2 linked regions of the Tribolium castaneum genome follow. Each later gene encodes a partner of the first gene's protein in a complex. Links are inferred from orthologs where the notes say so. Each region holds a gene or a part of one and is shown in the gene's direction. Other genes may lie near its edges.

Evidence for each region.
Region 2: protein AAR2 homolog (region 1) and holn1 share a complex: the UniProt entries of both Homo sapiens proteins name them as parts of the U5 snRNP complex. The link is inferred for Tribolium castaneum from reciprocal best matches to the Homo sapiens genes AAR2 and CD2BP2.

The regions. Positions count from the first base shown.
Region 1 is NC_087397.1:5,816,486-5,827,459, forward strand, and holds protein AAR2 homolog, read left to right. Parts: upstream 1-4,613; 5' UTR 4,614-4,685; coding exon 4,686-5,091; intron 5,092-5,138; coding exon 5,139-5,463; intron 5,464-5,517; coding exon 5,518-5,920; 3' UTR 5,921-5,955; downstream 5,956-10,974. Other genes in the region: sbm (b(0,+)-type amino acid transporter 1), read left to right, coding at 38-139, 397-639, 693-818, 898-1,042, 2,795-3,119, 3,168-3,317, 3,370-3,538, 3,589-3,653. UniProt on the Homo sapiens protein: Component of the U5 snRNP complex that is required for spliceosome assembly and for pre-mRNA splicing.
Region 2 is NC_087402.1:7,508,729-7,519,496, reverse strand, and holds holn1 (CD2 antigen cytoplasmic tail-binding protein 2 homolog), read left to right. Parts: upstream 1-5,324; 5' UTR 5,325-5,362; coding exon 5,363-6,307; 3' UTR 6,308-6,354; downstream 6,355-10,768. Other genes in the region: Etf-QO (electron transfer flavoprotein-ubiquinone oxidoreductase, mitochondrial), read right to left, coding at 6,374-8,043, 8,088-8,189, 8,473-8,506; dbe (KRR1 small subunit processome component homolog), read left to right, coding at 8,833-9,609, 9,663-9,926; rod outer segment membrane protein 1-like, read left to right, coding at 9,959-10,078, 10,127-10,557. UniProt on the Homo sapiens protein: Involved in pre-mRNA splicing as component of the U5 snRNP complex that is involved in spliceosome assembly.

The DNA.
Region 1 (10,974 bases):
AAAAACACTTGTCAAAGTTTTTAATTCTTTCAATAAGGTTCCGGAATTTTCGTTTCCCCGTCGGGCCTGCTTGAAAGGACCGGATCAATCGGGATGAGCTTTGTGATATGGATGGCGTGTGGGCTCTTGTCACTGCTAGGTGAGTAAGAAATGTAAATACGCGGATCGGAAGTCGGTGTTTTTTTAGCCGATTGTTTGAAGTTGCAATTAGTTGACGTGTGTTTGGAATTGTTTGGTAGTCACGCGACTGTTCGTCTTGAGATTTATACAAATGACGAAGTGCTGACGTCAATCGGGCCACATATCCCGCCTCCGCGAAATTCGGCCGATCATTAAAAACGCACAAAATTAGTCTGGAGTACTTGGGTTCAAAGATGAGCTTTGCGATTATTTCAGGCGCTCTGGCGTACGCCGAACTGGGCACTATGAACACGTCATCCGGGGCGGAATATGCCTACTTCATGGACGCTTTCGGTGCTCCCCCTGCGTTCCTGTTCTCCTGGGCCAGCACCCTCGTCCTCAAACCCTCGCAAATGGCGATCATTTGCCTCAGCTTTGGAAAATACGCAGTCGAGGCTTTCGTCAGCGAATGCGAACCGCCCGAAATCGTCGTCAAGATGGTGGCCCTCCTCACAGTCGGTAAATCCCCCGTTGGCTCAAAGAGTGACAAAATTCGCCATCTCTGATTCCAGTTGTTATCCTCTACGTCAACTGCTACAGCGTCAATCTGGCAACGAGTGTCCAGAATGTCTTTACGGCGGCGAAACTGGTCGCCGTTCTTATTGTTATAGCAGGTGGCACGTACAAGATGTTTGAAGGTACAGTAGATAGGAAAAAGTGCCGAAAAAGAAATTTTCATTTCAGAATGAAACGATTAAGAATCGGTTTTTTTCGAAGGTAATACTCAGCATTTGCGGGAGCCTTTCAGAGGAACGAGGTCCTCCGTGGGGAACATTGCGACGGCCTTCTATACGGGGCTCTGGGCCTATGACGGCTGGAATAATCTCAATTATGTCACCGAGGAAATCAAAAACCCATCACGGTAATTACATTTTTCATAGCTACCTACCAGTCTAAGAATAATATATTACTTATCAAGTCAAGAAAATGGAACTTTCTTGATGTGCCATGTATACGATTTTTCCCGAAACCGCTTAAAATGAAACTAATTATCATTAATTTTTTAACGTCTGAAGAAGTTACGAATTTCCCAACTATTAATTTCCCTAATATTAATGTCAATATTGAAAACTAATAGCAAATAAAACTGTTCAATAAATAAATTGTTATTTGAATTTATATGTTTTTCAAATGAGTTAGGCAAAGTACATATTTTCTGGACAAGGCACGAAAGTAACCAAGGAATGTTCTATTTTCGTGACGATTTCGGGATAAAACAATTTCTTTATTTTCTGTTATTAAACAAGTTAGTGAAAAATAAGGTTGATGTTTTTACAAAAATAAATACGAACAAAACTTGCCTAAAATGGCTGAAATTTAGATTAATACTTCCAATATTCTGATTTATAAAGTATTTAAATTAATATATTGACTGATTAATCGTCCGTGATAAAAAAATTCCTGCATGGTTCATCAAATTGTAACTTAAAAATTTCATAACAAATTAATAGTTGCATCTAAGTCTACCAATTTTAATTTATGAAAAATGTTTTGAGTCATGATTAAGAGTTAAGATAAACTCGAAACGTCGACTTTAAATAAATTTTTTACGAGTCTGGACTTCTTCAATTAACTCCCTATTTCCACCTCATTTAAAATAATATGACCGCGAAAAACATAAATTATTCAAGCCTAAGACGATCATTTTTGCTTTGTTTCGATTCGCTTGAATAAGATTGAAATAGAGCAATTCATACTTAACTCGATATTTTTTTGGGTTCGGCCAAACAATGTTAATGGTCAAAACAGGTTTATTCAGGATTGACACTAATATTGTTTCGAAAAAATGCGTCAACTTCACAGTTTCTGGCCCCAAAAAAATCTTACAGTCTCTTGCAAATGGCGGAATACAACTATACAAACCTAATACGACTATTTTTTGCTCATTTCGTTCGTTTTTTGTATTTAATTTAGTTCAAAAAAATAATAAACTCGACCAGAAATTACTAAAATAGTGGAAATCAGACCTAAAATAACACAGTTTTGTTGACTTACTTCAGGAAAATACTAAATTCCCAAGGTGATGTCAAATTTTCAAAGAAGTTGATGGAATAGAATAATTCCGATCTAATACAACGATTTTCTTGGTTCGTTTCAAAGAAATACACATCTTTGAGTTACTTTTTAGGTATAATAATAAAAATAATAATAATAATAATAATAATAATAATAATAATAATAATAATAATAATAATAATAATAATAATAATAATAATAATAATAATAATAAATAAAAAAAATATGAATGACTGAAATAGAATATTTCAAACCAAACATTATAATTTTTTGGTTTGTTTTGGCAAAAACCGTCGATTAGAGCCAATTTTTGTAACACTTCTAACTGAGTTAACTTGTTTCACCCAAATACGTCTATTTTAAAAATGCTCGAAAATAGCTGAAATGAGGCAGACAATCCAAACTTATCCATTTTTTGGCTTGATTTGGCAAAATACTTGTAAGTATACATCAACTTGAGCGATAGTTTAATTCAAAAATTGTTAAAAGCACTCGGAATTAGCTAATGCAGACCTAAAAACTTGGCAAAAAAGTTCACAAAACCGTAGAAAAATTTCGGTACTCAAAGTGTGGACATGAATACATGAATGGTTTTCAGTAATTTGCCAATGAGCATCATAATCGGCATCCCGCTGGTGACCATCTGCTACGCCCTCATCAACGTGTCCTACCTGACGGTGATGTCCCCCATGGAGATGATCACCAGCGAAGCGGTGGCCGTGACGTTCGGCAACCGCCTTCTGGGCGTAATGGCCTGGCTGATGCCGCTTTCCGTCACCATTTCGACGTTCGGTTCCGCAAACGGCACTCTTTTCGCCGCTGGTCGGCTGTGCTTTGCGGCAAGTCGCGAAGGCCATCTCTTGGACATTCTCTCCTACGTCCACATTCGCAGATATACTCCAGCTCCGGGTCTCATTTTCCACGTGAGTTGGCAATTTTCACAAATAAGTGAGTAAGGAATTGGGTTTTAGTCGCTGATTGCCGCCGCTATGGTCCTCTACGGCACCATCGACTCGCTGATTGACTTCTTCAGCTTCACTGCGTGGATTTTCTACGGGGGCGCGATGTTGGCTCTGATTGTGATGCGATACACTAAGCCCAACTATCCTAGGCCCTACAAGGTACTTTTTATACCCAAGATTTAGTTTTTTGTGATTTTGCAATTTGTTCCAGGTGCCAATTATCATTCCGTATGTGGTATTAGTGATCTCTTTCTACCTGATAGTAGCTCCTATAGTAGACAAGCCTACCATTGAGTACCTGTATGCAGCGCTGTTCATTTTCAGTGGGATGGTTTTTTACGTCCCCTTTGTGCATTACAAAATGCGGATCCCATTCATGGGTGCGTCCACTCCACACTGTTAGTTTTTTTTTTTTAATATTTATTTTCAGACGGCGTGACTGTTTTCCTGCAGATGATATTTGAAGTAGCACCAACATCGACAATGTTGGAGTAGAACGGCAGAAAGCTCAAATTTATATATTTGTAGCTGGTAGAGGGTCATGGTTACAGGTAAAACTCTTGGTTTCATCTATACAACGTTATTTTTGTGCTTACTGTGACTTGAAAATGTGTAGATGGAACTAGATGAAAATTATTATAAATGTAAAATGTAGGTAAATTGCACGGATCATTCCCAACCATCGGGGTATCTCATGGGGTGCAACGTGGATATCCATAACTGTTTCGTTCGTTCAAATAAAATTAGTGTCGAGCAATAAAACTTAGAGTGAACGTATTATACAGTAGATAAATGTGAAATTTAATTACTCGGTGTAATATCGTCGATGTTTTCGCTAATTTTATTTGAATTTGATAGTTGTGCATTTTATATTAACTATACATTTACTGCAAAAAGTCTGACTTTTTTATGAACTTATTTTTATATTAGTAAAGTTCCTGTAACCATGATAAAATTTCAAAACACAATAGATTGACATGTTTCAGGTAAAATATGAATCTGTTATTCCTTACCTAAACAATGTTAATTGCGACTTTGGGTTTTCTACAGTTTTTTATTTCATTTCTTAAAAGCAGTACTAAAAGATTCGAATCTCGAAGAGAGTATTACCACAGTTAGCGACAGGGATATTAATTCAAACATTTCTATTCCCCTCAAAGTACCTGCTGAATAGGGTGGCGAAAAAGAAAATATTTTCTTCAAATAGTCATTAACATATCTACAATACTCTCGAACGAATCTTGGAAACATCGATTTATTAAGCAAAAATTGTTATTTTTATCATTTGATAATAGCTTTTGTATAAAATTTAGAAAAGTAAAATTGTTGCCAAATGTAAAGCGTATATTGTTGTGCAATATAAAGAAATATATTGTAATACAGAAGAAGTTTTATTTATTTTTGCCCAAAACCAAAATTCCCACTTTTTTGGACGGCATTACTGGTTGCATAACATGACAATTGTGTCAATACTTGACACAATCCTAACCTCACAATTGACAATTTGCCAAAAACGTAAACAAACACATGGACCAAGCCACAGCTCGACGCCTGCTCTCCGAGGGCGCCTTCTTCATCCTCCTGGGGGTCCCCGAGGGCACCGAGTTCGGCATCGACCTCAAATCCTGGAACACGGGGGAGAAGTTCCGCGGGGTTAAAATGATCCCCCCAGGCGTGCACTTCATATTTTACAACTCTGTTAGTGCGACAACCGACGATGTGGCCCCCAGAGTTGGGTTTTTCCACAATTTTAAACCGGGCGAAGTCCTGGTGAAAAAATGGTCAAAGGTAAATGAGCAAATCAGTGACGAGCAAGTCAATGAGTCGGAAATCGTGAGTTTGAAGGAGAATTTGAGGGCTCTTGATGGGTTTCTGGGGCCTTATCCGTTCGATATTGCGGAGCGGTGGGCCAGCTTAGTGGGGAGCATCACCGGTAGACTGATTCAATTTTTTGGGGGGTTTTTAGACGTTTTTTTTTAGAAAATTTGTTGGGGAAATTGGTGCCGCAGTGTGGGCAAGTGAGGGCTGCTTTGGAGCTGCAGTCGTGCAGCGATGCCGAGCGGCCCAGGGGGGCTAAAAGAAAAAAGGGGGAGGCGAGTGAGCCGTCTTGTAGCGGGATAAAAAATTTGTCCGGTTGTGGAGAACTTGATTTGTTGCCTGCTTTAAAACCGATCGAAGGGACGGAGTTAAGGTTGACGAAATTCCCTGAAAAGAACTATCCTGAGGGAAGCTCGCCCTCTGAAATTACGCAGCATTCCCTTGATTTAACATTTGTTTTTGAAACACTTTTGTCACAGTATTCTGAGTATGTAATGTTAGATTAAACGTAACATTATGTTAATTTAAATTTTTATTGAAGGTCTACGGAAATCATCGGTGAGCTGGAATTCTGCTACATTTGTTTCCTTGTAGGCCACAGTTTGGAGGCATTTGACCAGTGGAAAAAACTAGTGACTTTGTTTTGTTCCTGTGATGCCGCTATTACAAAATATAGAAAATTATTCGATTTATTTATAACAGTTTTAGAAGTACATATAAAGGAAATACCGGAAGAATTCTTAGCAGATATTGTTTCAAACGATAATTTTGTTTATGTTAATTTGAAAAAATTATTTAGGTCGATTCATGAATCAAACGTTGACGGACAATTTAAAAGTAAAGTCGTTCGATTTAAAAATTCTTTAACTACGACGTTTTTGTGGGATTTTGAACATCTGGATTCCGATGAAGACGACGAAGCCCCAGTTATTGTAGAAACTTAATTTTGTTGTGTTGAAAATAAAACTATTTTACTTCATGTTGAATTTTATTAACAAGAATTCCCAGAATTATGAAACAAAGAATAGTGGAAAAGTTGTATAGTACATACATCATAGTTCAAAAAAAATATATACAAGGTGAAACAAAGTAGAACAAGTTAACTAAATAAAAAATGAAGAAATATTGAAAACAAAAAAACCTATTAAACGAAGTTTTTTTAAAGTCACATCCAAAAGTTGTGACAAGTTCACATTACCCATCGATATAAAAACTCACGAATTAAAGACGTCTTAATAAAACAGAAAACTGACAAGACAGTAAAACCTCTCACCAAGGGACATCGATGAGGAATTTTTAATTGTCCGTTGTGGAGAGGTGTCCGTTATTCAGAGGTGGACATTAAAGGAAGTTTAATAGTATTTGAAATAAATCGTTTTTGACCATTTAGCGAAAAAATCAAATACGAGCACCTACCTACCTAATAAATATTTATAATATTATCAACTTTGCTAAAACAAATCAACACGAATAAAAAAAAGTGCATTTAAACAAACGATAAGCACCATAATATAAAAAAAACAGTGTTTATGGTAAAGAACGAAAAAAGTATACTTATTGCGGTTCAAGAAATAAATATTTTAGATCTGGAAACTTCTCCTAGAAGGTTCGTATTATCTCAATTTGCACTCGCTTCTGATTAATTCTACCATAAAATTTGTTTTGGGGATTCGCCCGTTTATTCTTATTATTTCTTAGAGAGAAAAATCCCTCGATAACTATAAATACCGCAGTCGATAGCATACTAAGTAAAAAACAACAAAAATATTGAGTAATTCATAAAAATAAATTTTTGAAAGTTTCACTAATAAAAATTTAAATTTTATCAAATAAAACCTCTATTTCCTTCTCTAGATAGTACAGACATTCCAACAATGATACTCTTATTTAATAGATTAATTTTTTTAAGATATTAAAATTTACTTAGCTTTTTTCAATATAGTGGTTGATTTTCGAGGTGATTTTAGCAATATGGTGCATTAAGCTTCCAATAGGACTAATAGGAGATAGAAGATATTAGTGACTTATATGCGAAGAAACCCCCAGTTGCGATAGGAACTTATTTATTTGTGTAAAAAAAATCGTCTCAAATTTTATTCTAACTGAACAAATTGTTGACGAAGGTCAATGACATAACCCAAAGAATTACAGCAAATGTGGTGCTAATTTAGTGCTAATAAAATTTGGTAGACACTCGTTAACTTTTCTTGAAAATTGTTAAAACACTTATTTTTGTTCCTAGACCCAGTTGTAGATAAATATTCTAAACGAGTCGCTAATTGTTGAATAATTACGGCCTTGACCAAGACCTATCCAACTTATAATTATTCCAATTTTCTTGTAAATTTATTCACGAAACTTTCACCTAGATTTATGGCAAATGTGTTATTTGAGATAGTAATAAGCACGGCTGGTGCTCTATTTACGAGTAATGTCAGCAGGAAGGCCTAAAATCCGGAAAATAAGATAAAGAAATCATAAAATCGAATGGGTTTAATTAATAGTGCTATATATCAAAGGAAATGCGTCCTCCGTACAAAGATAATTAATTGTCGTAGTAGAATTTTATTGTTGGTAGTAAACAATTAGTACCTAGACTTTAGAGTTGAGCAAACGATCGAAAAAGTGTAATTTCTAGTTAATAAGTATTATTTGAGGACATATTTGATGACTGTTATTGCCATTTGCCGTGCAATCTGATCGCAGCGACTTCCTTTATAAAATAAAATTGCTTAAGTGGTATAAAAATGGGTATTTTTACGCTTTTGTGTTTAGCCATAGGTCACGTAATAACCGTCTTAATAAATTTAGCCCTGATGGAAAGTGCAACCAAGGTTCATATTCACCTGCAATTTTTCTAAAATACCACAATTATAATGCAGTTGCTCAACTCCGCGGTACTTTTATTACTTAATTTTCCTCACTTGCATAACATAACGAACCGTGCACTTTCTAATCCCAGAAATGGCACTGCTGTTATTTTGCGAAAGCTCGCCACGTCGCGAAATTAAATAAAATCGCTAATCAGCCCCAATGATGGTGATTTATATCGGACGGAAACGCCAATCTGCATTAGCAGTCTAATGCCCTGAGCACCCTCGCCGAGGTGCTCCAGGTGCCCCCCTCAGTCGGCAAGCTCGTCTTAAGCTCGCACTTTCTCTGCTCGAGGACGCTTTGAACACAAACTATTCGACCGCTCCGCCACTCAACAACTTCCGATTAAAAGCCGGCATCATTTAAAATCATAATCAGTTGATGTCAACGCGCGAAGAGATACAACATGAAAGTGTGAAGTGATACTGTGTCGAGTGGAAATTAAGGAAATACAAGGTAGGATTTGTGGTTTTACGCGATTCTGCAAGACGCTGGCACAACAGTTTGATGCAATGCCTTTTTCCGATTGCAACAACGGCACGTTTCTTAACAAAATGACATTTTCGAGAAAACAACGTAACAATGCTAATTAAAGATTGAAATAAACAATTCGCGAAAACCCTCCAGGATGTTACTAATTGTGCGGACACGCGAATTGATTCAATTAAAAATAAAAACGTGTAAAATTGTTTGAGAAATTGCGCAAATTCCAGGTATGTGAGAGTAGGTGGGTACTTTTTCATTAATATGTGATCTATAAATATTCGCATTGTTTGTTGGTAAATAGCCTTCGGTGTAAATTTCCTGCTAATAAAAAAATTCAAGCTGATTGGTGAAATTACAAATAATTAGTGTAAGCAGCCGAATCGCCTTGAAATAAAATATTATCAATAAAAAATGGGAAAAAATTAAATTTTCCGCACTATTTTCCTGGAATTTGCATATTAGTGCGACCACATCTTTAATCAATTGTGAAGGTTCTTGCCGCCGAATTTTCTTCGATGAAAGCAATTAATAAAATGTTTCCACTCTTTATTCCCACGGTTAACGATGTATTGACATAATGATTAATTTTTAGAATTTATTTTGTTCTCCACAGATATTTATTTTTTAAATTATCACTATTTCAAGCTCAGACCTGTATTAAAAAACAGAACGATCGTCGGAATGGCCTGAATATTTTTGCAATTATCCTCTTGAGAATAAAAATACATCAATTTTAGCGGTTCATTAATTGTTGCTCTTGAAGTCTGGAATAAAATTAGATTAATATTTCCTCTACCAAGAAAACAACACTATATGCGTAACAATTTAAGTCAATTCCTGTTTTTACTAGTAAAAATAAACGAATTCATTGTAACTTGAAACTCGTATTATTGTGCATGTTGTTAAATATTCATTACAATGATAAAAAACGCAACGGGTTGTATCAGATGATCCAGTGACCCGTCCAGAATTGTAGCAAATATTTGGAGAAAACAATTAATCAATCATCGTTTGTTTGAAAATTGATTGTTTCGTATTTCGGTTCCGATAACAAAATAGTAACAATATTTTCCGTCTTATCAATGAAATTGCCAATGTCTGCGTTGACAAAAAGCGTGCAAATCCTTAAACTCCCACCGTCCTTGGCTTTGCTGCTTGAAACTTGATTAATGTGTAAATTTTAAGGTCATTTAAACAAATTGGGTCAAGAAGACCACACAAACCCATTCCCTCTGACTAATTCAGGTTCAAAAAACACAAAACCGAAAAAATGAATTTTATCACGAGAATTAACCTTGTCAGTCGGTATTTTTTTTAAAAGTGTGACACGTATCAAACTTTTGTTGGGGTTTCCGGTTTAAGGACTTCGGCCGGAAGAAAATAACATCGAGGTTCATTAAAGGTAATAATTGTTAATTGAAGAAAGTGTCAAGGTTGGGTTTTATTGAGAGTAATACCCTTGTCAACATGTGGCGTTTCCGCGAATCCTTGGCGTCTTCGGCAAAGAACTGAACGAATTGGGTCATGCAAAAATTGGGGGTTTGCGAATTCAAGGATTTAGAACGGCCGAAAAATACAATAAGAGAATTAACGCGAATCTAGATCAAGTCCGAACGGATTAAACACAAAATTAAAGAGCATAATCAAAAATAAGCAGTTTCTTTCATTAACACTTAAGATGATTAGAGCCCATCCTTTTTTCAGCAAATAAAACGTTTTTTCAGCAGGACCTTACAATGCGATATTTCAAACTCAAATAAAAATTAAAATACAACTAGGGAATCTAGTTGAATTGTTTCAATTAAAATAATTGCATATTAAAAGCATAATTCTCAAAATTTATGACACTATTCAAAAAAATTTACAGCCCTAAAATGTCTAAAAAAACTAACAGTTTTTTTTCTTAAAAAAAATCAGAATTACAATGTCTGAATAATAAATACGTCAAAGATGTTAAAAATACAAATAAATTGGGTAAAGTTGGTAGGAACTTTTTTGTAAATCTCAAATCGGGGATTGTATCTTTCGTAATTATTTTATTTGTCAATACTGCGTGTTCCAGTTTTTTACACTTAGAATTTCAACAATGAAGAGAAGTTATCTATACGTCCAGATTACAAAACGAATTGAATTGAACAATGAATAACATTACACATAATATGAAATTTTCCCATAGAAAAAATGAACTAAATGTATTTTCTAGCTCAAATTTAAAAGGTTACTAAATGCTACTAATATACAGCGTGTTAGGGAATGGTTTAGTAAAAATTTAAAGGTAGATAGAGAATGGCAAGACAAACCGATTAAGCAAAATAAATGTAAATGAAAAATATACAGTTTTCCCAAAAAATCGTTTTGAACTTAAAGTCCCAAATTTTGAGAACTGCTGAATTAGAATTATAAAAATTAGCGTATATTTTAATATTATTGACTAAACATCAAAGGTAAACTAACTTCTTGATCCATAAATAAAAATAAATAAATAAATAAAATAAATAAAATAAATAAAACAAATAAAACAAATAAAATAAATAAAATAAATAAAATAAATAAAATAAATAAAATAAATAAAATAAATAAAATAAATAAAATAAATAAAATAAATAAAATAAATAAAATAAATAAATAAATAAATAAT
Region 2 (10,768 bases), on another chromosome or scaffold:
TCAAAATTGCAAAATTGTAAATTTTAATTTTAAAAATTTATTTATTTTAATTACTATAACTCTAATTATTAGTTTTTACAAACCGACAGTGTAGATGTTAATTAGTTGTGTAAAAGTTCTACTTTTCTAGGATCCTTAGTTTTTGGGTAATAGATTTAATAAAAAAGTGTGTTTCGCCACGTCCTTTATTTCTTTCTGGAGTGAATAATTTGTTCAATAAAAATATAGAAATCATTTCCTACTTGTTTATTTGGTGCACAAAAAATTGCAAGACGATTGAAGATTGAAGCTTTTATTACTGGATATCGGAGGGATTGCAACTGTTCAAAAGGCAAAAAACTTTGTAAGTTTCGGCCAAACCAACTGGAATTTCGTTGTTTTTTAAAAAAATTTCAGGTTTTTTTATTATACTTGGGTTCAAAATTCGTGGATAAATTGTGGATCGATTTGTTTTTAATGAAGAGTGATTCTCGCAATTAGTTTGTGTTCAAACATTTTGCAAGTTTTTCAGCAAAAACTCAATTGTTTCGCAAGATTTCCTCATAAAACTCAAAAATGTACTAAATTAGGTCAAAAATCTTTATATCTTTTCAGTTATTAACTTGAGCGTTTGACAATTTATTTTTTTTGAAAAGCAAAAATGAATAAATGAAGTGTTTTATTTAACTTTTTAAACTATTGTTAATGCAGAGGTGCCTGATTTTAGTTCTAGTAGATACTAAGTTTTCTTACAATGAGTTCAATTTCTACGTTACGATGAATTCTTTCAGAAAAACAACTAATTTTTTAACAGCAAATTTAGCACAATATTAATTTAAATTCAACAACAGTTTATTAACTTTTTTATAGCATTTTATGGTGTAATAGATGAATTCAAGTTTATGACAAAACGTACTTAGTTCGTGTTGCTTGTTTATTTATGTAATCAAATTTATTGAAAAAAAAATTATGTTTTTTTCTGTAATAAGAATTAATAAAAAATTTATCTTAAATTACCAAATTTTAATACCTAATTTCAGTTTTTGTACAACCTTTTTTGTCTTTTCATAAGGATTTTAACTTTCTAAAAGTCCGGTCTCTCCTTATTACCTAGGATTGAATCAGGCAGAAAGTTGAGAAAAGGTTTTTATTCTTCGACACTGTCAAAATTTCGGATTTTTCTCCTGTGTAAGACAGTTTTGACAACTGTTTGGCATTTCTCAATACGAAACGTCAGATTATTTTTAACAGATTTTAAGCAATTTTAAGCTTTGTTGAGTCTAATTCGAAGAATAAAATGTTGTATTCAACTTATTTTCGTGTAAATCGGTTCATTTATTTCACCTCGTGGATGGTAAACCTCTCGTTATCACTCGAGGTTTAAAAAACCACTCGTGAAATAAAACGTCCGATTTACACTCAAACTCGTCGAATAAATAACTATTTTAATAAAACACTGATTTAAAAATCTATACTTTTATTGCATTTTTATAGTTTTAGAACTATTTGTTATAAGTCCTGTATGAATCTCTTTAGTGCTATTACTTTTTAAGAAACTGCAATTAATTAGGACAATGGACAATGTTTAAGAGCCAGAAATAAGTTTCTTTGTGTTTATCTTAAACTCCGCGTTATTGAAGGCTTGAGAGGCCTGAGCCTATCGATGTATCCTTCTTCGAGGGAACAAAGCCGGATAGGGACATAAATTTCGCAATCGGTGCGCCATCTATCGGGTGGTTGGCATACTGATGGTCCTTTTTCCGGGTAAAAATGCACTCCGGGAGCAAGCTAAATCACTATTCACAAAACATAAATTACCAAGAGACCAATATTGTCAAGCGAAATTTACACGAGCGATTAAAATTTATCGTCGTCGTGTGTGATTGCGGCCATGTTATAATTTAAATCGGACAGTGATAAATTTATGGTCGATCAATGGGAACACGTCCACCACTTTGTTGCGATGATGGATGTTTCCGGTTCTGTTCAGACGTTGACCCTGATGGCGATAAAACCGACGCCGAAACGTGTCCACAGGATGCTCCATTGAATTCTAACAAAAAATCGTCCCTCCTTCACGATATTTTAAAGGACTAAAAGCTCCGAGCAAATTTATAGCCGATGGAGCTGTTGCGCTATATATTAATGATACATTTAGTGCAATACTGTAGGGCTGTATAATGATAATGGGTGCGCAGCTTCCAATATTGATGATAGGCCCTAATGCCAACATCACTCTTTGATTAAACCAAACACGATGAATATTTTACTGCAGGGTGTTAATATTCATACCGGACGCGTACACGAAAATGATACTAGGTAATAAAAATTTATTGTGTTCAAACTGCGAGGGTGAGGTGCATGAAGCCACGAGAAAGACGAAATATAATTCAGTTATCTCAGTGTGATTTATCCGCACGGAAAGCTCATCAAAATACACAATGAACTTACTCTGTAGCAAAATTGTCTCAAACCGCGGCATTTACCGTCTAATGATAATGATATATGAAAAGTTATTACAGTTGTATTAAAGTTTTAATAGAACGATCCGTAATTTTCCCATTATTAAATTTGCAACAACCCGAATTACACGCAATAAAAACTTATTAAATCAGCCTTTCCAATACTTTTAGGGGAAAATAGAAATGATGTGAGTTTATGGTCCGAGAGGAAGTGAAGTTTCACACGTCACCCTCGAAATATTGCCAACAGCCACCATTAATAATTGCCCGAATACCGTAAAAATAATAACGACTGACCGCAGAACGCGTTCAACCAATTTACTACCCCGCTTTCGATAAAATACTTGACGGTGTGGCAGCTCTATTAATATACGGGGAAAACGCCTTAAGTAAATAAAGAGAGGTATAACTTGATAAAGCACGGACAAACAGAACAACAGGGAAGTGGAAGACGTCGTCCATTATTGCGATAAGCGCTTTTTTATGGAAAAATGTTAATTAAGACAATAAACACGTAATTGTATTTGTCATGTGGGCGAAGAAAGTTTTAACTTGAACTCTTTTTTGGCGAAATATCAAAGCATAATTAACTCAACCTTTCCAACTGTCAGCAACATTAAAACTTTTTTCGTAGTCTTTGAAAAAAATCCTCGTTTCAACTGATACGGGATGAGTTGTGGCTTTTTCACGCTTTTGCGCTTGTTCTCCTGACTTTTGGCTTTAATTTTACGTTAAAAAGGTGAAAGACGTTACCCAAGGTATCATCATTAAGGTCTAAACCGGCAGTAAAAACTTTATAGTATTCTAAAAATAGAAAACCAAGTACCGTTTTGTAACTCTGTAGATTTGACTCATCATAAAAAACCCTCGTTTCGTTAGACACACAAAACTTGTAACCCGAAATTGGAAGCAGATACTGTAGCACACTTCACTGTTTGTAATTTCGTTTTAATATGCAGAACCGAAACGAGTATAACTTTTATTAGAATCACCCGAGAGAACAGTTTGCTCAAAACTTATTCCATTCGAATGATATTTTTATTCCTGGAATAATTTGTGTCTGGATGAATTTCCTTGCAGCAGTCAGTGACCTGTCTGGTCTTTGCCAGGGCCTCCGGATCCAACCCATTCATTGATCGGAACCTTGAACTTGAGGCAACTATCGCCGCCGTCGGGACGCTCCTCCACCCCAGCGCAGTTTTTACCGGGTTTAACGGCCCTTTGCAGAGTTTATCACCTCGATTTATGGCGGTACGCGCAGTCTGCGTCCATATTACTACAATATGCGCCGGCGAGACAACCAATCAATGTTTTGTAATCTCATTCGTCTTCAAGCACCAGACGCGCTTAATGGATCCCTCACTGATTACTTCTTTTACAACGCTTGATGATAAGTGATAACGCTAATTTAATGCCTCTATAAGAAGCATTTTGTAACCTTTTCGCTGTGTCCGGGGGCGGCAACAGATAAAAATACATTTGAACGCCAATATTACGAACGCTCGAATGTAACAAACAAAATTGAAAGTCCCGTTTTATATTATAGTAAAAAATCAGTTCGGTTTTAACGAATAATTGAACCTCGCTTACAACGAATGCTGGCTTTTAACGTCCAATATTTAGACAAAAAACTGGTCTAAACATTTTCGATATTGCAGAATGATTTCAAAAGTGAAACATACCTTAAAAACAGCTAAGGTGTTAAGTACAAACACAAATCATTAAATAAATAAAATATTTGTTATAGGTATACATATGTATAACTATGAACTCATGTAATTATATAGCTTTTAATAAAATATAATCATACTTTATTTCATAACGTATATCTATCTTAAACTTTAGAACTCATTTATCTTGAAAATTACTCCATATGTTAAAACGAACGATCGGTTACAACAAACAAATTCGGAAGTCACTTAGGTGTTCGTTGTAACTAAGTTTCACTGTATTATTAATTGACGCGCTTGTAGTATTTATGGCTCTACAATCTTGCATTAGGTGTAACTTAATAAACTTAAAATACAAAATTAATTAATTTTTTTTAATATCTGAACTTTTTTTAATCAGTCAATCAAATAGCAAATTCAGTTCTAGCACAAATTCTCTAAAAATGCAAGATAATTCTGAAAATCACATGGGAAAACCTGAAACAATTCTTAGTAATGTCACCAAACATGTACTAGGTATTAAATGTTCTCATTTATATTCTGAGATATGTTAAAAAATCAGCCTGTATTTATTTATGAAGTTTTAAAAAAAAAAGCGTAGCTATTTTGCACTTTTTTCTACAATATTAGTTGTACGTGTACGTTGTCGCTGACTTAAAAACTTTTTCTGTAGATATTTGCATTAGGTACTCAGGCTTGTTCTCTGTTTACTTATTGTGAATTTAATATAATATAATTTGAAACTATTAAAAACATCTTAAAACTCATTATTTCAACCATAAAAAATCAGAACCTTTAGTTTGCAATTTATTTAAAAAATAAAGCTTGTAACAAAAAAATTCTAAAATTCTGTCGTTCTGGGCTATAGCCCATTTTCTCCTTATGTAAATATGCGACTGCTAATAAGTAATGAGAGCATAAGAGAAATTCGTATTTGCACGTATTTGGAGGACATCTTTTTTGAAACACACAGTATAAACAAATTTTAAAGTAGCTTGTGCCATCTCTTGGATAGTTGCCAAACATACCATTTCAATTTTACAGTTTTTCTTAACTTTTTGGGTTTTTTACAATATATTTTTGAGTTGTTTATGTTTTAGTAATAAGCGTGGTGAAAAATTTGCGGTAAAAAAAGCTGATTATGATTATTTCCAAAAAAAACAAATATTAAAAAATTTAACCGTGGATACAAACCAAAAGTGCAGATCGGTTTTGAGAGCATGCGTGTTGTTTGTTTTGCATTTGTCAAAAATGTCAAAACGAAAATTCAACGAAGGCGATTTTTCGCAAAATAAGCGGCGCCAGGTGAAGTTTAACGCAAAAAAACATTCCTTGGATTCGGACGAAGAGGACGATTACGATGAGACCGCTGAAGAGCTCAACGCCGACGACATCGAGGGCGAAGAGGAGGGAATTTCGCGTCAGGTTGAAGGGGTCCGGATGACCGCCTTCAACATGAAAGAGGAGATGGAAGAAGGGCATTTCGACAAAGAGGGCCACTTTATTTGGAACAACGAGAAGGAAATACGGGATAATTGGTTGGACAACATCGACTGGCATAAAGTCAACAGTGACGATAAGTACCAGTTGGACCCCAACGAGAAAGGCTTGGGGGCCGAGAGTGATTCTGAGTCGGAAGCTGAGGATTTCGATGAGGTCGGTTTGTACAAAAAGATGCTCAACTACATGAAACCCAAAGAAACGGTCAACAAGTGTTTGAGGCGGTTAGGGGGCGATTTGAAGTTGTCCAGTGTCGAGAGACTGAAGCGCAAGAAGGCAGGGACTTTGAATTCGAATCAGGATGTGGCGGACATGACCGAGATCGCGAATAGTATATTAACGAAGACGGGGAACATGAACGTATACCAGGAGACTTTTGAAGAAATTACCAAAAAAATTGACGACCGAACGAAACCGAAAAACAGTGAGCCTGTTCTGGACATGTATGCTGACGACTTCGGCGACAAGGAGAAGGAGAAGATGGAGACGGCGTCAGTGTCAGGTAAACCAGAGCAGTTAATGTGGGAATTTAAGTGGGACCAAGACAAGGACCAAGTCGAGGGTCCGTACGACACCTCACAAATGTTAAAGTGGTCCAAAGAAGGGTACTTCAAGACGGGAGTGTGGGTGCGTAAGTGTGGCGAACAATCCAACTTTTACACCTCGAACCGGATAGACTTCGAGCTGTATGACTAACAGTGTTATAAAAATTTTATTATCAATATACATAAAAAGTCAAGCAATTTGCTTAAAGGCACTTAATTACATTCCGTTGTAAGCCGGGCCGCCACCTCCTTCGGGAACCACCCAGTTGATGTTCTGACTCGGGTCTTTAATATCGCAAGTTTTGCAATGTATACAGTTCTGGGCGTTGATTTGCAGCCTTTGACCGTCCCCACTTTCAAGCGGGACGAATTCGTACACTCCTGCTGGACAAAACCGGCCTTCAGGCCCGTCATAAATGCCCAAATTTTGCTTAACAGGAACGGTATCGTCCTTCAGGGTTAGATGCGGGGGTTGGTCACCTTCATGATTGGTCCCAGTCAGCGCAACGGAAGAGAGGAGATCGAAGCTGATTTTACCGTCAGGCTTCGGATAATCGATAGGTGTACAGTCTTTGGCCGGTTTGAGTCTCTTGTAATCGGGATCGCCATGTTTGAAAGTCCACGGTTCCATCCCCCCAATCATTATGGAAAATCCACTGTACATCACTCCTCCATACATCCCCAAAGGATTATGGAAGCTGGGTCGTACGTTCCTCACCCGTTTCAAGTCTTTCCAAATGAAACTGTTCTTAACTTTGTCTGGATAGCTCTTCGGTTCAAAACCTTCAGTTTCTTGTTTTTCGCTATTAATGGCTTCGTAGGCGCTTTCCGCAGCCAACATCCCACTTTTCATGGCATAATGCGTGCCTTTGATTTTTGGTACATTGAGGAAGCCGGCCGAACACCCAACGAGACATCCTCCAGGGAACGTCAGTTTGGGAATACTCTGGAAGCCACCTTCGTTCAAAGCACGCGCCCCATAGGCAATACGTGTACCTCCCTCGAAGTAGTGTTTGACGCTAGGGTGGTGCTTGAACCTTTGGAACTCTCTAAAAGGGCTCAAATAAGGGTTGGAATAGTCCAAGGCGACAACAAATCCAACCGCCACCAAAGGAGTATCTTCATTGAGGTGGTAGAGGAAGCTTCCACCGTAGGTGAATTTATCCAAAGGCCAACCAATCGAGTGCTCAACGCGGCCAGGACTGTGTTTCGAAGGATCAATCTCCCAAATCTCCTTCAAACCAATACCGTAGGTTTGTGGCTCGGAGTTTGCCCTCAAGTTGAATTTGTTTATGATTTGTTTGGATAAATGTCCATGGCAGCCCTCCGCAAAAATGGTACATTTGGCATGTAATTCCATGCCTCGTTCGAAATTGTCTTTAGGGCTCCCATCTTTGGCGATACCCACATCGTTGGTCGCCACCCCTTTAACGCTACCATCGGGATGGTAGAGGATTTCCGAAGCTGCGTACCCTGGGTAGATTTCAACACCCATGGCCTCGGCTTGCTCCCCAAGCCATTGCACCACGTGCCCCAGCCGCACGATGTAGTTCCCGTGGTTGTACATGGGGGTACCTGGCAGTACCGGAACAGGGATTCGACCCGTGGCTGTTAAAATCCCGAATTTGTCTTCCTTTACTGGGGTTTTTAACGGTGCCCCCTTATCCGCCCAATCAGGGATTAATTCATCGAGTGCTGTTGGTTGTATAACAGCTCCTGATAAAATGTGACCTCCTACTTGAGATGCTTTCTCCACAACACAAACCCTGAGCTCTTTCCCGTCTTTTTCAGCCAATTGTTTGGCTCTTATCGCGGCAGACATCCCCGCAGGACCTCCCCCGATTATTAAAATATCCGTCTCGTCCCCGAACCGTTCCATATTCACCTCTGAATGAAAGCTGGTCAATTAGTGAGTACTTTGAAATAATTACCTTTCCATCGTGGGTCGTTTTCTCGCGGCACAACGGTATAGTGGGTCGTGATTTTGGGAAACTGGTCCGAATAACATCGTGCCAAAGGTTTCAAAGATTTAGCTGGAAAAAAAAAACAATATGCACTTTGCAACATAAACACGGTACAAAGGTCACTCTGGACAATATTTCATAATTTATCCGTGAAAAACCACCAGAATGACTTACAACCATTAAATTAACGTAACTTCCAGCAAATTCTAACATAATTATCCCAAGATTATTGTAACAATAATTAGTTTTTTCAAAAAAAAAAATTATGAAATAAGTGTAGTGACCATTGTCGTGGTTTTAGTTTATTAATGTATCAGTTGGTTGCCAAGTAACTTTATAATAAAGAACTTACCGTATTTTATACTTGTAAACAAATTTAATGCCATGTCGACCAGCTAGTTGCCCTACTACACCTTTGACGTAACATTTGTGATTGACAAACAGCTGTTTTTAAGTGTGTCTGATACTGATTCCGCCAGAGGGCCCGTCATTATTTTATCGGCTTATATAATTATCTCATGATTTATTACATTTTTTATTATTATACAACAATGTGAGAGATTAGATCCTTTTATTATATCATTTATAGCGTTACTTCATGGAGTTTTGGGTTATTTCCAGTCACAGAATCCTGTATTATCGGCCACCTGTCAAAAGATTAATGCACGTGTTTTTTCCATTTCGTCATATTTTGGTGTTTTTGTGAGTGAAAATGCCGGATTCTAGCGACGATGAGTCCCAGGCGCCCTCAGGTCCCGTCGAGAACGCTTGGGCGATGAAAATCCCGGAGTTTAAGCCCGAGGATAACCCCCATGGTCTCCTGGAGGAGAGTTCATTCGCGACGCTTTTTCCCCAATACCGGGAGCAGTATTTGCGCCAAGTGTGGCCCCTCGTGCAAAAGACTTTAAAAGAGCACCACATCAATGCAGAATTGGACGTGGTTGAGGGAAGCATGACTGTGAGAACGACGCGTAAAACTTGGGACCCTTATATCATAATCAAAGCTCGAGACATGATCAAATTAATGTCCCGGAGTGTTCCTTTTGAGCAAGCCAAGCGGGTGTTGAATGACGACGTCGGTTGTGATATCATTAAAATAGGGAAAATTACAAGGAATAAAGAGAAGTTTGTTAAGAGAAGACAGAGGCTAATTGGGCCGAACGGTTGTACGTTGAAATCAATTGAATTGCTGACTAATTGTTATGTGTTGGTGCAAGGACAGACAGTGTCGGCTTTGGGGCCTTATAAGGGGTTACAGCAAGTCAGGAAGATTGTGGAAGATACCATGAAAAACATGCATCCTATTTATAACATCAAAGCTCTGATGATCAAGAAAGAATTAGCGAAGGATCCCAAGCTCAAGAACGAGAACTGGGACCGATTTTTACCCAGATTTGTTAATAAAAATATCAGTAAGCGGAAACAACCGAAAAAGAAGAAGGAGAAGAAACCGTACACGCCCTTCCCGCCCCCACAAACTGAAAGCAAGGTAAAAAATTCAAAAATTTTGTAGGAAACAAATAACACTTTGTTAAATTTTAGATCGATAAGGAGCTAGCTTCTGGCGAATACTTCCTCAACAAGGAGCAAAAACGGCAAAAGAAACAGAAAGAGAAGAATGAAAAACACGCTGCGGCTGCGAAGAAACGTGAGGAGAAAAGAAACGAAGCGTTTGTCCCACCTGAGGAGCCCTCAACCTCGAAGCAATCACCGAATGTTAACACGAAAGTTGATATAGCGTCACTTAAAGAAAAAATCATGAAGGCGCGCAAAGGTGCAAAAATGTTTAATAAACCTGTAAAATAACAACTTGTTTGATTTGACACCGAAGTTTGACAATGTCTGATCTAGACGAAGACGAATCCCAGGAAAGAATCGCCGTTAAGGGTGGTTTTCCAGTGCGCATAGTTGAGTACAAGAGCATCAAACTGATTGCAATTTTTTTGACAGTGTTTCTTGTAATTGACGTAATTTTCTCGTTAAAACTTTTAATTTCCGCAATACAGATCAGATCCCACCTCGGGTATTTTATTAACATGATTTCAAGCGGCGATGGTGATACTTTACCAGCGTTGCAAGCCGTGCCGGTATTTTTTTTTCTCATCATTAATTTAATGATGTGTTATTTCGTTTATGCGGTGTTCGATCCCAGCGAACAACCCGGCGCCAATCGAATGATGTTCTTTTTAATTATCTTGGCCCTTGTTATGGTGGTTGTTCTTCTGATAATAATTGTTAGTGTTATCGCACACGCGTATAGCACGCATCAGAAACTCCACGATGGGATTGTCACTGCAATGAATCATTATTTGAACAGTACGACCTATAAATCACAGATTGATCGCTTACAAATTGAAATGCAGTGCTGCGGAAGCAAGAAATATGACGAATGGTATACCATCAAGTGGCAGGATCAAACACTGGAGAAGGAAACTGGGTATGTTTAAGTAGAAAGCAGCTGTTTTGAAGAGATTATTTAGAAAACGAAAGTTCACACATTATTTTTTCTATTTTGTAACTTTAACAATGCTATTAACGCACTTGTTTAGGTTTAAAAAACTCGAAATTGAACAAAAAAAGTTATAACTAAACCAAAGATGTTGGTCCTCAATTAAGTAGTAACGATATTTTTGTATCCTTTAGCGGAA